Linked DNA regions of Arabidopsis thaliana. The protein of the gene in region 2 interacts with the protein of the main gene of each other region in a biochemical or structural test. Each region holds a gene or a part of one and is shown on either strand. Other genes may lie near its edges.

The links.
Region 1: the proteins of SDG14 (region 2) and SKP1 form a complex in vitro, tested with the Arabidopsis thaliana proteins (one study listed by BioGRID).

Annotation. Positions count from the first base shown.
Region 1 is NC_003070.9:28,514,960-28,518,695, forward strand, and holds SKP1 (S phase kinase-associated protein 1), read left to right. Parts: upstream 1-1,559; 5' UTR 1,560-1,755; coding exon 1,756-2,064; intron 2,065-2,321; coding exon 2,322-2,495; 3' UTR 2,496-2,937; downstream 2,938-3,736. Other genes in the region: AT1G75945 (uncharacterized protein), read right to left, coding at 454-535, 747-850; AT1G75960 (AMP-dependent synthetase and ligase family protein), read left to right, coding at 3,228-3,736. UniProt on the Arabidopsis thaliana protein: Involved in ubiquitination and subsequent proteasomal degradation of target proteins. Together with CUL1, RBX1 and a F-box protein, it forms a SCF E3 ubiquitin ligase complex. The functional specificity of this complex depends on the type of F-box protein.
Region 2 is NC_003074.8:22,850,919-22,859,063, forward strand, and holds the start of SDG14 (SET domain protein 14), read right to left. Parts: upstream 6,055-8,145; 5' UTR 5,631-6,054; coding exon 4,905-5,630; intron 4,822-4,904; coding exon 4,766-4,821; intron 4,682-4,765; coding exon 4,513-4,681; intron 4,244-4,512; coding exon 4,124-4,243; intron 4,052-4,123; coding exon 3,983-4,051; intron 3,894-3,982; coding exon 3,825-3,893; intron 3,733-3,824; coding exon 3,641-3,732; intron 3,505-3,640; coding exon 3,412-3,504; intron 3,210-3,411; coding exon 3,074-3,209; intron 2,967-3,073; coding exon 2,894-2,966; intron 2,808-2,893; coding exon 2,708-2,807; intron 2,617-2,707; coding exon 2,492-2,616; intron 2,304-2,491; coding exon 2,158-2,303; intron 2,059-2,157; coding exon 1,954-2,058; intron 1,812-1,953; coding exon 1,747-1,811; intron 1,666-1,746; coding exon 1,440-1,665; intron 1,333-1,439; coding exon of another isoform or gene 1,330-1,332; coding exon 1,090-1,329; intron 1,007-1,089; coding exon 917-1,006; intron 822-916; coding exon 735-821; and 7 more. Other genes in the region: AT3G61750 (Cytochrome b561/ferric reductase transmembrane with DOMON related domain-containing protein), read right to left, coding at 6,979-7,568, 7,653-8,052, 8,130-8,145. UniProt on the Arabidopsis thaliana protein: Histone methyltransferase.

The DNA.
Region 1 (3,736 bases), on a different chromosome or scaffold from region 2:
ATCTAAGAATATATATTACCCATTAAGAAATAAATGAAAGAGAGAATAAAATCCACAGCATTATATAAATATTGTAGCCCTGGGAGTTCGGATATATCGGTTTAATCGGTTCGGTTTATTTAGTTTTTCGGGGTTTTTGGATTTTTTAATTTCTAGCCGAATTGAACCGAACAAAAATTCGGTTCGGGTCGGTTCGGACATCGGTTTTTTCGGTTCGGTTATTGGGTATAAATTAAATTCCGGATTAAACCGATTTTTTTTCTAATTCGGTTAATTTGAACCAAATAAACCACAAATTAAAAAAATGGACTTACAAAAATGAAATCTAATAAAAAACAAACAACAGGCCCAATACACAAATATACAGTTACAATTACAAATCCACAACACAATTATGGGTCAGGTCCATTACAAAATTAGGGTTTTGAGTTTTGACAAAAAAAATATGTACGACTACAACTCCAAACTGCGACGTCGAGCAGTGCCTCTCCAATCTAGTGATCTACCATTCCGACGACGTAATGCCCTACGAGACCTGTTAAACGCCCGTTTGTTATCCATGAAGTAAGAAAAAACATGAGATGGAAGTGTAAACCATAAAAGATCCATAAAAATAATGGATAATCTCAGATTTGGAAGTGTAAAGCCTAACTCTAAAATTTCAGAAATTATAGAGACAGAGGAAGAGCTTAGAGAGCAAAGAATCAAACAAAACAAATGATTAAAGAGAAATAAGAAGAGTTTACCCTAAGAAAGTTGAGGTTGTGGGTTGAATCTCTGAGCAAAGGTTTTTTGTAAGACCAACTGAGATTAGAGAGAATGAAAGAGGCTTGGAAGATGATGAATTCATGAAGGAGAAGAGACGAGTTGATGATTACTAATTCAATCGAAGAAAAATATCAAAGTTTCTTTGTTGTTTTCGCAAGAGGCAGAGAGCCAAAAACGAAGAAGAAACCTAATTAGGTTAAGACTCATCAATTAACCTTATATATGGCTGCAGATTCTCGGTATGGGTGAAACCGATTGGTTCCGATTACCGAACCGACCCGAACCGACTTCCGAATTCTTAAATTAATTTGGCCGATCGGTTCGATCTCCTTAATTCGGTTGCTGCCGAAAACCAAAATTTTCGTTTTTTTCGGTTCGGTTTTCTCGGGTTGAACCGTTATCCCAGGCCTAAAATATTGTATGACTCTTGACCAAAAACTAGTTAGATATATTATTTATTATGACATATTAATATTAACTTAATATAAAATAAAAATAAATGTTCAAAAAACATGATCTTAAAGCTGACAAAGCTGATTTGATTGACTAATACTTATCCTACGGTGATTTTTGGTTCTTTTACTTTTTTTGACAATTATGGAGCTGGATGGAAAAAAAATATATATAAAATCATATATTATTAATAATGAGATAAATACAACGAATTAAACGGATCAAAGTTAATATTTCCAAAAGAAAAATAGAACAGAGTCCTAATTTCATTAATTTCAACTATTGAAAACAAAATTTAAAATCAATAGGATTGATTTCTATTTTTCTTTTAGAAAAACAAAATTTGAAACAATTTCCTAATTTCCCTAAACTTGCGACTTTTTAACAATCGACCGACTTATCAAAATTAGGGATTGTTTTATATATAAAGAGAGACGCATCTCTTTATTTCATTCATCGCTTCTCCAAAATTTTCTTCAAAGAACAAATCTCCCAAATCTAAAATCTTTCTCTTCTCTCTTCGTTTCCATAACCATGTCTGCGAAGAAGATTGTGTTGAAGAGTTCCGATGGTGAATCTTTCGAGGTTGAGGAGGCGGTGGCTCTCGAGTCACAAACCATAGCGCATATGGTTGAAGACGACTGCGTCGACAACGGAGTCCCTCTTCCTAACGTCACGAGCAAGATCCTCGCCAAGGTGATCGAGTATTGCAAGAGGCACGTCGAGGCTGCTGCCTCTAAGGCCGAGGCCGTCGAGGGTGCTGCTACCTCCGATGACGATCTTAAGGCCTGGGACGCTGATTTTATGAAGATCGATCAAGCTACTCTCTTTGAACTCATTCTGGTATGTTTCTTCTCTCGATCTGATTTGATTTTTCCATCGAATTTTGAATTTTGGGATTCTAGGGTTTTCGATTTGGGAAAATTAGGGTTTCGAAATTTAGGTGTTTGTTTCAGAAATTGAATCTGCTTGAGATTGATATTGTTAGGGTTCTTATGGAACCAATCATTAATTGAATCTATCGATTTGGATTATAATCATATCTGTGTTTTTGGATTCGGATTTTGATCTAATGGTTATGAATTTGGGATCTTGTGCAGGCTGCTAATTACCTGAATATCAAGAACTTGCTTGATCTAACATGTCAGACAGTTGCGGATATGATCAAAGGAAAGACTCCAGAAGAGATCCGCACAACGTTCAACATTAAGAACGACTTCACACCAGAGGAAGAGGAAGAGGTTCGCAGAGAGAACCAATGGGCTTTTGAATGATTGATCTTCAGAGAGAAGAATCAAAAGCAGCAAGCAACCAGTTTCTTCTTCCTTATGTTTATTGCCGTTTTCAAGTGTTGTTGATGACTTGCTTTTTAATATTCTTCATGAATCATGACTATCTTCTTCCTCTTCTTTCTTTCTTATCAAGAACCAATGTTTCTTACTCTTTGTGGGATGGATAATTTGTGCTTTTAGATAATCTTCAAGAGTGATGTTGGTTTGTCTTACAAAATAACTTCTTTCAATTGTCTTGCCAATCGCCACAGAATGCTAATTTGCACGATTCATTTTAGGAATGTTCATGTGTAAATAAAAAGAAACTGAATTTGGCAGAGTCTGCAAGCAGAATGTGAAGGATCATGACGACTACTCATTGAAACCAATGGTCACCAGTTATGCCCTGCTCCTGCTCATCTACTTACATAAATATCTGCATCACGTATTTGTATCTTGTCAACATCTTCTCAAATACTAACATAATCAGCATCACCCATTCGTCAACATTCGATAACATGTGGGCTTTGTTTGCATATAAGAAAACAAAGTTTCCACTCAACCGAACGTGGATCACATGTACATCAATATAATTACTTTAATTGTTTGTCTGGCTAGTCAAGTGGTCTCTCGTCTCGTCATTGTGTATCTTATCTTTACTATGAGACTGAAAGAGATATCTTCTTTATATACAGTAACACTCACATTGTGGTCACTCGAAAAGAGCTAAAGAAAATGGAAGATTTGAAGCCAAGTGCCGCTAACTCGTTACCATTGACACTGTTAGGCTTTCTTGAGAGAGCAGCCACCGTGTATGGAGACTGTACCTCCATCGTTTACGGCAATTCCACCGTGTACACATGGCGAGAAACGAATCACCGTTGCCTCTGCGTCGCGTCTGCTCTGTCTTCCATTGGAATAGGAAGATCCGACGTTGTCTCTGTCCTATCTGCTAATACTCCGGAAATGTACGAGCTCCAGTTTTCCGTTCCGATGTCTGGCGCGATCCTTAACAACATCAATACCCGCCTCGACGCGCGAACCGTCTCTGTTCTTCTCCGCCATTGCGAGTCTAAGCTGCTCTTCGTCGACTTCTTTTACTCCGATCTCGCTGTCGAAGCGATCACGATGTTGCTCAATCCGCCGATTCTCGTCCTAATCGCCAATGAGGAGGAGGAAGAAGGAGGAGCTGAAGTAACGGAGCGTTCAAAATTCTGTTACTTGTACAGTGATCTAATCACTAG
Region 2 (8,145 bases):
TGAATTCTAGACATTTACAAAATTGCTACGCCGGAAAAGTATCTAGCTGAATGTACATTTAATGAATCAATCGGAAAGAAGCCAGCATCATGTCAAGGGATTTCCCGTAAGCTAGCCGCCGAGGAAACAAATCGGTTAGCTTCCCACCGCCATTACTGTTCAATTAGAAAGCAAGTTTGAACGTTTGCAAGAATGGTTTAGACTTAAGAGAGCTCTAGTTCATGAATTTGCGGCAGTTTGGAGCTTTACAAAGGCAGGGCACTTTGATCTCTTCAGATTCATCAACCTCAAAGAGATAATCATACCTGTAGAGAAATAGGTTTTCATGATCAAGGTTAATAATGCATATGGATTTAATCTATATCTTATGAAAAGAGAAGCTGAAGAAATGTTTTACGTAAGCTCTTCCCCAGCTGCGACATTGGTTTTTGCAATGAGGACGATTCTGTTGTCTTCTCCATCACCCATACTCACTATACGAGCATAGCAATTGGGCATACACTGCACAAGACATAAACATCCTTAGTATTAATTACCAGGTTTTGATCTCGTGTGCCAATTTAGGGAACTTACTGAATGATTGATCAATCGTGCGATGTTCCCAGAGTCTGTGGCATCAATTACTATCTCTTCGCTTATCTTGAATAGCTGCGTTGTTGTTGTTAGACAATAAGTTACTTATTAGATGCAGCGGTTAATGTTTTAATCTAAGCAAGCAAGCAATCGGAACTTACGTAACAATCTTTGCCCTGCGAACGATAGTTTGCCTCTCTCAGATCTGCAACACTTCTCCTAACTTTCACCCCACGATACTCGATGATCTGCACAAGAATTTTAATAATCAGTAGTTAGTTTGCCTCAAGAATTTCAATTTAGCCATATCAAAACCACGAATAATACAACGTAAACTAAATACCATTTCTCCTTCTTGAATACTTTTCCTTGCAAACAAACCCCATCCATGTATGCCAGATTTACCAAAGCAGACTCGAAAATTTTCTGTCCTCTGAAGAAGATAATATATTGTTTATAAATATTCTAGGATAACAAGATGGAGAAAATATTAACTCTTCATGAATCAATGTTTACCTGCAAATGTTTTAGCCGTTCTCTGAATGATGTAAAATCTGCTTCCTGGTGTGTAACAAGGTAAATGGAAATTAAGATCTTCCTAAGATATTCAGAAAACGTTGCCCCAAGAAAGCAAAACACTGACATGAATGGAGCTCGGAATGAGAAACTTGCCTTAAAAGAGTTTAGATTCTCGATTGCACTCAAAGAATGATGGCTTGGTCCCTTAAGCCTGTGGGATATAGCCTCCAGATCAATCTTCTGAAACGTCAGCAGTAAAAGATATGAAGTAGTAGCTTTGCTAGGGAATAGTTAATAACGAAAGACTCTCCAACGTCCAAGAATAAACAAGATCCCCAGATGCATACCTTTGTGTTTGATCTACTATAGATACGGCATCTTGCTGCAGAAAGAGAATCAAATACACGACTCTGTTCAGCTTGGGTTTGGGTTTGGAAACCTGGAAGCTTCATCTTCTTGGTCAAAACGAGTCTTGAACCTTTGGCGCGCCCATATTGATTCTGAAGCAAATTTCTAGAGCCAAATACTCCTGAGGGTGTGTGCACAACTACAACACTATCTGGATCTGGCTTTCTACATAGTAATGATACAGGCGATCAGTTGGTCCCAGTATCACATAACAGGTCAGTTAAAGAATATGTCGGAGAAACAAACCTGTGAAATGAACAGTAAACTGACTTCCTGGTTCTCTGCACACCATTTTTTTCCAGGCAGTGCAACTAAATTCCATAGACAAAAACATCACTTACACATCCCTAAGATGATTAACTAACAGGACAGAACACCTTTGCAAGGGGTTTAACGTGAAAAATGAAGATTATCATAAGCACAGAGGCTAAGCAGTTTAAGGACTTGACTAACCTCCATGTTGTAACCTGCCCGTGATGCACACATTGCGTGGAAGTGAGTTGCACACTTGCAGCAATGAACGCAGGAACCATGTGTCTGCTTACAAATTGTGCAAACCTAAAAGGAATTTTCAGAAAATATGAATGATGTATAATATAATAAAACTTCTAATAGAACATGTTGGTTATACTTTCCACTTCTAGCATTCATTTATACCTTAAGAAATGAATTTGCTGGAATTTTGAAAAGTCCAACAGCAGGCTCCATATTTTCATGATTCAAAAACCCAACTTCCGGTCGGAACCAAGCACATGTTACATGAACCCACAAACCCTCAACGTCGCTTGGTTTTAAAGCACCACCTACATAATGGAAGAGTTCAGGAAAGAACTAGAAATATGGAAAGTGAGTTCAATTTAGAGCACATCTACCCAAAAGCGAATTCTCAGAATGACTGTATGGAACCTTGTGACAGGACAGTCAAGAATAAAACATCACTAATGCAAGATCAGGAAAAAAATCATAAAGAGAGCTAATTCTGCAGTAGTACCTTTTACAGGACAAAGACAACAATCTCTCTCAATGTCTGGTGTTTCACATGCTCTGCATACCCAGGAAGTGAGGTCCTGAGATTTGCTTACCCCATAACATTCTTGGTGCACAGCCACTTGACACCTGCTTACAGATTTGGTCAGATTTATGACTCATGTTTAGTTATAAGAACGCTGTAGAATTCAGTATAACCAAATTATGCCATTAAAGTAACCTGTTACAGATGATCATTTTATTTTCTTCCCAGTCTTCTACCCATCTGCATACAGCACACCTTTCAGTCGTCCACTTAGCCCTGACTGGCTCATACTTTTCTGTGCATATAAAATAAGTAGTAAGCAAGTATCTTAGCAATTTTAAACTCCAAAAGAAGGACGCCAAGAATTAAGATATACTCTACCTTCTAGCAAAGAGAGCATCTTTTGCTTATCCAACATCTGGGTTTCTAGAGTATAGGTACTGAATTCTGCAATCTGTAATATCTTGTTGTCAGTATTATACTTCTTATAGACATCATGCATGTAAATTTCAGGGGTATATAAGGGAAAGTTTATGAGAGAGTTAAGCATAAGGGATGTACCCATTTTTCTAGAGGTAGCATTGTGTCTTTCACTCTTACACTATACTTCCACTTTTTGGCTCTGCAGCCTGTATGCCGTTCCCATTCACTTGGTGACTGCTTCCTTGACCCACATGAACCACACTTGCACTCAATTCTGAAAACAATAGTTCCAAGATAAATGTGTTGTTTTAATCTCTGGAACAACAAGAGAATGGTAACAGAAGCCTAGGATCAAGCGCAGAATTGTCGTCTTCAGAGAAAAAATCATCTTACGGCATTGCATTGTACAGTCATGGACAAACAAAATCCTGCTCAAATGAGGAAATTGAAATAAAGATGATGCATCTAATACTTACGCATGAAATTTTCTGATATATGTCCCTTCCATGCCATTACAGACTACAGTAATCGCATCAGGCAGCCCAGTCTCTGTTGTCTTTTCTGTAGACCTGTCCCAAAGAGGTTGTGAAGAGGAATTTTGCAAATTAAAGAATTAGCAATAGAACAATGCAAATAATAAAAGCAGGAGAAGATATTTTTTTCGAGAAGACTAAAGTGAGAGAACATGAGATGTTAACAACATACTTAAACACTGAGTTCTGTTCTTCTAATATTGTTGGCGTAAGCTCGTGTTGGACTTTACAATCAGGGCAATAGTAATTGTTGTGCTCCAGTTCCTTAAGATGAAACCAAATTAGAACAGTCATTCGACAATAGTCTTCAATACTTAAAATCAAAAGATAAGATGCACGGCGATGTATAACGGCACCTTAAAGCGTTCATTCGTAATGTTGTCGCATTCAGCATGTACCCATACGTCACACCCATCACAACAAACCTAATACATCAAATCAAGTCAGCTATATAGATATTATAATTTCTTACTCAGGTCAGTATTTCACCAAACATGGTCACAGATATTCTCACCCAATCTCCATCATCTGAAGGGTGCCATATTCTCTTGCAGATGCCACAATACTGATTGGATTTCCGCAACTGAAACAAAAATTTGGATTCAATTCCCGTCGATCAAAGAAAACTGAAGAGGGAGGAAGTTTTGATAAGAACCTTTGAGCAGTGTTTGCATAAAAGCTCTTCCGGTTGTGAGTCTTTAGTCCTTTTTAGAGATTTTAATGGCATTACTGAGCCACAACCGTCGCATGTCCTTATGTCCTCATGATATGAACCCTACACAATAATTAAATCAGCAAATCGTTTAGGGGAAGGTATTTCCAGTAACTATAAAAGAGTCAGATACAAACAGTACATCTACGCCTATGTAGTATGTTTAAACTTCATGACTTAGAACAGAAAGTATATCACCAGACGTAGACACTACAAGATGCTTATAGAACTGTCCAGAATTGATTTACTTTTGTCTTCCCAAAACAATTAGAAGAGCAAACTTGAACATCTAACCAAAAAAAAGAAAAGGAATATGTGTCAAGAAAACGTGCCTGAAATCTAGAAGCAGGTCCATAGTCCTGGTCGGATTCCGTCGCAGAGGAATCTGGGGAGATGATTTCAGCATCTCCAAAATTACCATTTTCTGCTAAAACTGCTTCCTCTAGTGCCTTGTTAAATTCACTTGCCTTGTAATTGAACAAGTTTGTCTGATCCTGAAATCTGAAGAGATGAAAGACTAGTAAGGAACAAGAAACAAACACACAAGTATGAAAGATTTCCAGAAAGAGCGTCTCATGTACTTACTTGTCCATAAATTCCGTAAATGGATACACCATCCCTTGTCTTACCCATGCATAGTCCTGTTAATGACCACAAGTTTTCAGAAAAAAAGATAGTAAAAATAAACGCCAGCTTGAAGACAGATTAGGATTAAAGAGATTACCCTCTGAGTTCCATCCTTGGAGTACCCAAAAAACATGACACAAATTGCGCCAGGGACGCAATGTTTCAAGACCCCATCAGGCGCTTGTGATATCGGATCGATCACCACAGCCGGCCATGCTGGGAATCTTTTCCCACACTTGGCCCACACAAGATCGCCAACCGTAAATTCCTCTGGTTTGTACACGCCCTTACGCGAGGCGTCGGACTTTTTCGGCATACCAAAGTTAGCATCGTCGTAGGAAATTTGAACATCCCAGTAATCGCAATCTACTTCACTGCTGTCTCCGTTATCCTTACGTGGAAACACCTTCGAGTCTTTGCTGCGATGCAATTTCGAGCTTCCACTGAAACCTTTGACCTTCTTCCCCAGAGATACGTCGTCGTCATCATGACTAGACTCCGTCGACTCTCCCTTGCGACGGCTAGATTTCCATGTACCAACAATGGAGTCCTTGAACCTAGAAGGAACCGCTCGAACTCTGCCACGCGAAGACTTGGACTGGTCAGAGCAAACTTGTTGAGATTCTTCTTTGCTTGTCAAGGAGCTTGAGCTACTAGTAAGAAGTTCTGGTTCTTTGCTACATGGTTGATCCACGGTTGCTCTTTGTCTCTTCTTATACACTATAATCTCACCCTTTTTCCTCCCATACTCAATTTCTGAATCAATTTTGCACCGCTTCAGATTCTGATTCTCGAATGTCGTCAAGGTCCGTTTCAAAATCATATCCTACCTAAGCAATCCTCGCCTATTCAACATAAACGACTATCCAAATTCCGATTCCAAAACCCTAATTTCATCAAACAAAACAGATTTCGCACTTCGGACCTCCGGAAGGAAAAAGAAGAAACTCGTAACGTTTAAATTCCTCTCGCAAATTGGCTCAATAGTCAACGAACCCAATGCGAAACCGCTTCTCTAACCCTAAATTCGAAAACGAAAACCAAATTCTCGTTTCCCTCAACAGGATAGAATTAAGAAATCAAACGACGGAGAAATCGTTAAACTCTAAAACGACGGAGAAACAACAAATCCTCCTCGTAGATTCCCTGGAGAAAATTATCAGTCGGTTTCAGTACGGAGAAGATAAAACCTTAAAATCGACGGCAAGGGAAAACAAAAGAGGAGGAGAAGGATCTTTGTGTTCTGATGAAGGAGACACACACCGTCCGTCGTCGGTTTATATATTTCTCCTTATTATTATTTTATGGTTAATTCTGAAATTAATTCGCCTAAACAAATAATAAAAACGAAAATAAAAAAAACGAATATGCTGACGTGGCGGTTGAATGGAACAGTGTTTGGCTCCAGGGATTGGGGACGAGGGAAGACTGCGAATTTTCAGGCGTACGAGAGCGCCAAGTCGAAATCTTCCTTTTCATCAAATCTGACGTGGCGCATCAATAAATAACTCTCTCGTTTTTCTTCTTGTCACACAACTTATTTAGAAAAATCGAAGCTTGTTGGGCTACATATTGGGCCTACGATGTTTCTCGTGGAACATTTTGACAATTAATAAAAGAAACAACTTCGAGTTAGGCCCAATATGAACACTGTATGTTTCTCATGCAACAACATTTTGACATTACCAGACAATGGAGGAAGATGATCCTTTTTTCATTTCAAATAAGACTCAAAACTTATCATCCAATTATACGTTCATGATTTATATGAAAGATGAGAGATTGCATTTGCATACAAAAGGACCATATTTTTGTTAATCGCTCCATAATGTTAGCCTTAGGGTCTAGGGACGTCTATGCACATTTACAAACTCATAAGGAATTAAAGAATTACGTATATTTCACTTTCCAGGAACAACAACCTTCAAAACTCAACTTACATGACAACAAATTGAGATCCAAAAAGAAACAAACCTTAAAAAAACAAATATCACCATGTTGCTCTAAAGTCTAAACCAAGACCGATTTCCACTTGAAAATCATATTGCCGAACCAAAAAAAAAAAAAAAAAATTACAACACATATGGACTATAAAATCAGTGACCAATGATTATGGGGAAAACAAAAAAAGTACCTTTATGTACAAGAAAAAAAAAACAGAAGATCTTGAATCAAACACTAGTACTAGAACTTGGATGTGTCTCAAAAGAGGGAGGGCTGCGAGAAGATGGTGAGCCGATAGTGCCACGAATCCTGAATATTTCAAGAACAACAAAAGCAAGTAACGTGACTGACAGAACAAATCCATATCCAATTTTCCATCCATCTCCTCCATTATCCGCCATTCGAATTCCAAGAACAATGTTCACTGCTCCAAAAAAGAGAGAGATCCTCCCAATCCAATGATGATACCAATTCCAATATCTCCTCATCTTTGTCTCCTTCTGTGGCCGTGCAAAGAAAGCCAAAACCTGAAGAGTGCTAAGGACTAGAAGAAAGATCCCAATGCCTCGATGCGCAGGTATATCCGGCTGGATCCTATTGTAAAGCTGAATCCCAAGAATAACTGCGGCTAAACCGAAGATAAAGCCCGTGAACTGAAAACCGATATGAAGATAGTACCAAAGAGGGTCTTTATGTCTTAGATATCTTGCTAGGATTGCCCCTACAGGAAGTAAGAAACCCCATCCGAGTATCGCCATTACTCCATGTTTTGTCTTCTCCGTAGAAGTTGTCGTCTTTATGGAGGTTGCTCCACTAGCTGCATTGACCAAGAACATACAACTATTGAACTCTCCCCTGTTTTTAACATGTATAGATTAGACTAGTATATACATTATATTACCTTTGGAAAAATCGACGATGACTGTAGTTTTATCATCATGCTTAGTCAAACGGCCTAGCTTGGAAGGATAAGCAGTGCTAAACGCTAGAATGACAGCTCTCCGAGGAACTCTAACGGCGAATTTCACCTGGAAAGCTAAGTAAATCATTGCTCCGTGAAGAGCCACCACCGGCGGGACTTTTTGTAGTTGCAATTCTCCTTGATCCGGCACAACTTGGTCTCTCTCCGTTCCTTGGAGATAGTATTGTTTGATTTTGGCGTGACCCTTTTTCGAAATCCATCCGATCATCGCGCTTGATCCAACCATTCTTCCTTCTTTCGAGAATCCAATCCCAACCCACCCGGTTGTGTATAAAGCCGATACTATAATCGTCATCACATTGTCTCTGTTTTCTGAGTACTGCAAAACAGAGCAAGCAGCGTTGAAAATCAAAATTATGGGTTTTAGGAAAAGTTGGTTTATGTTTTTCGGTTTACCCGTAAGACGAACGTG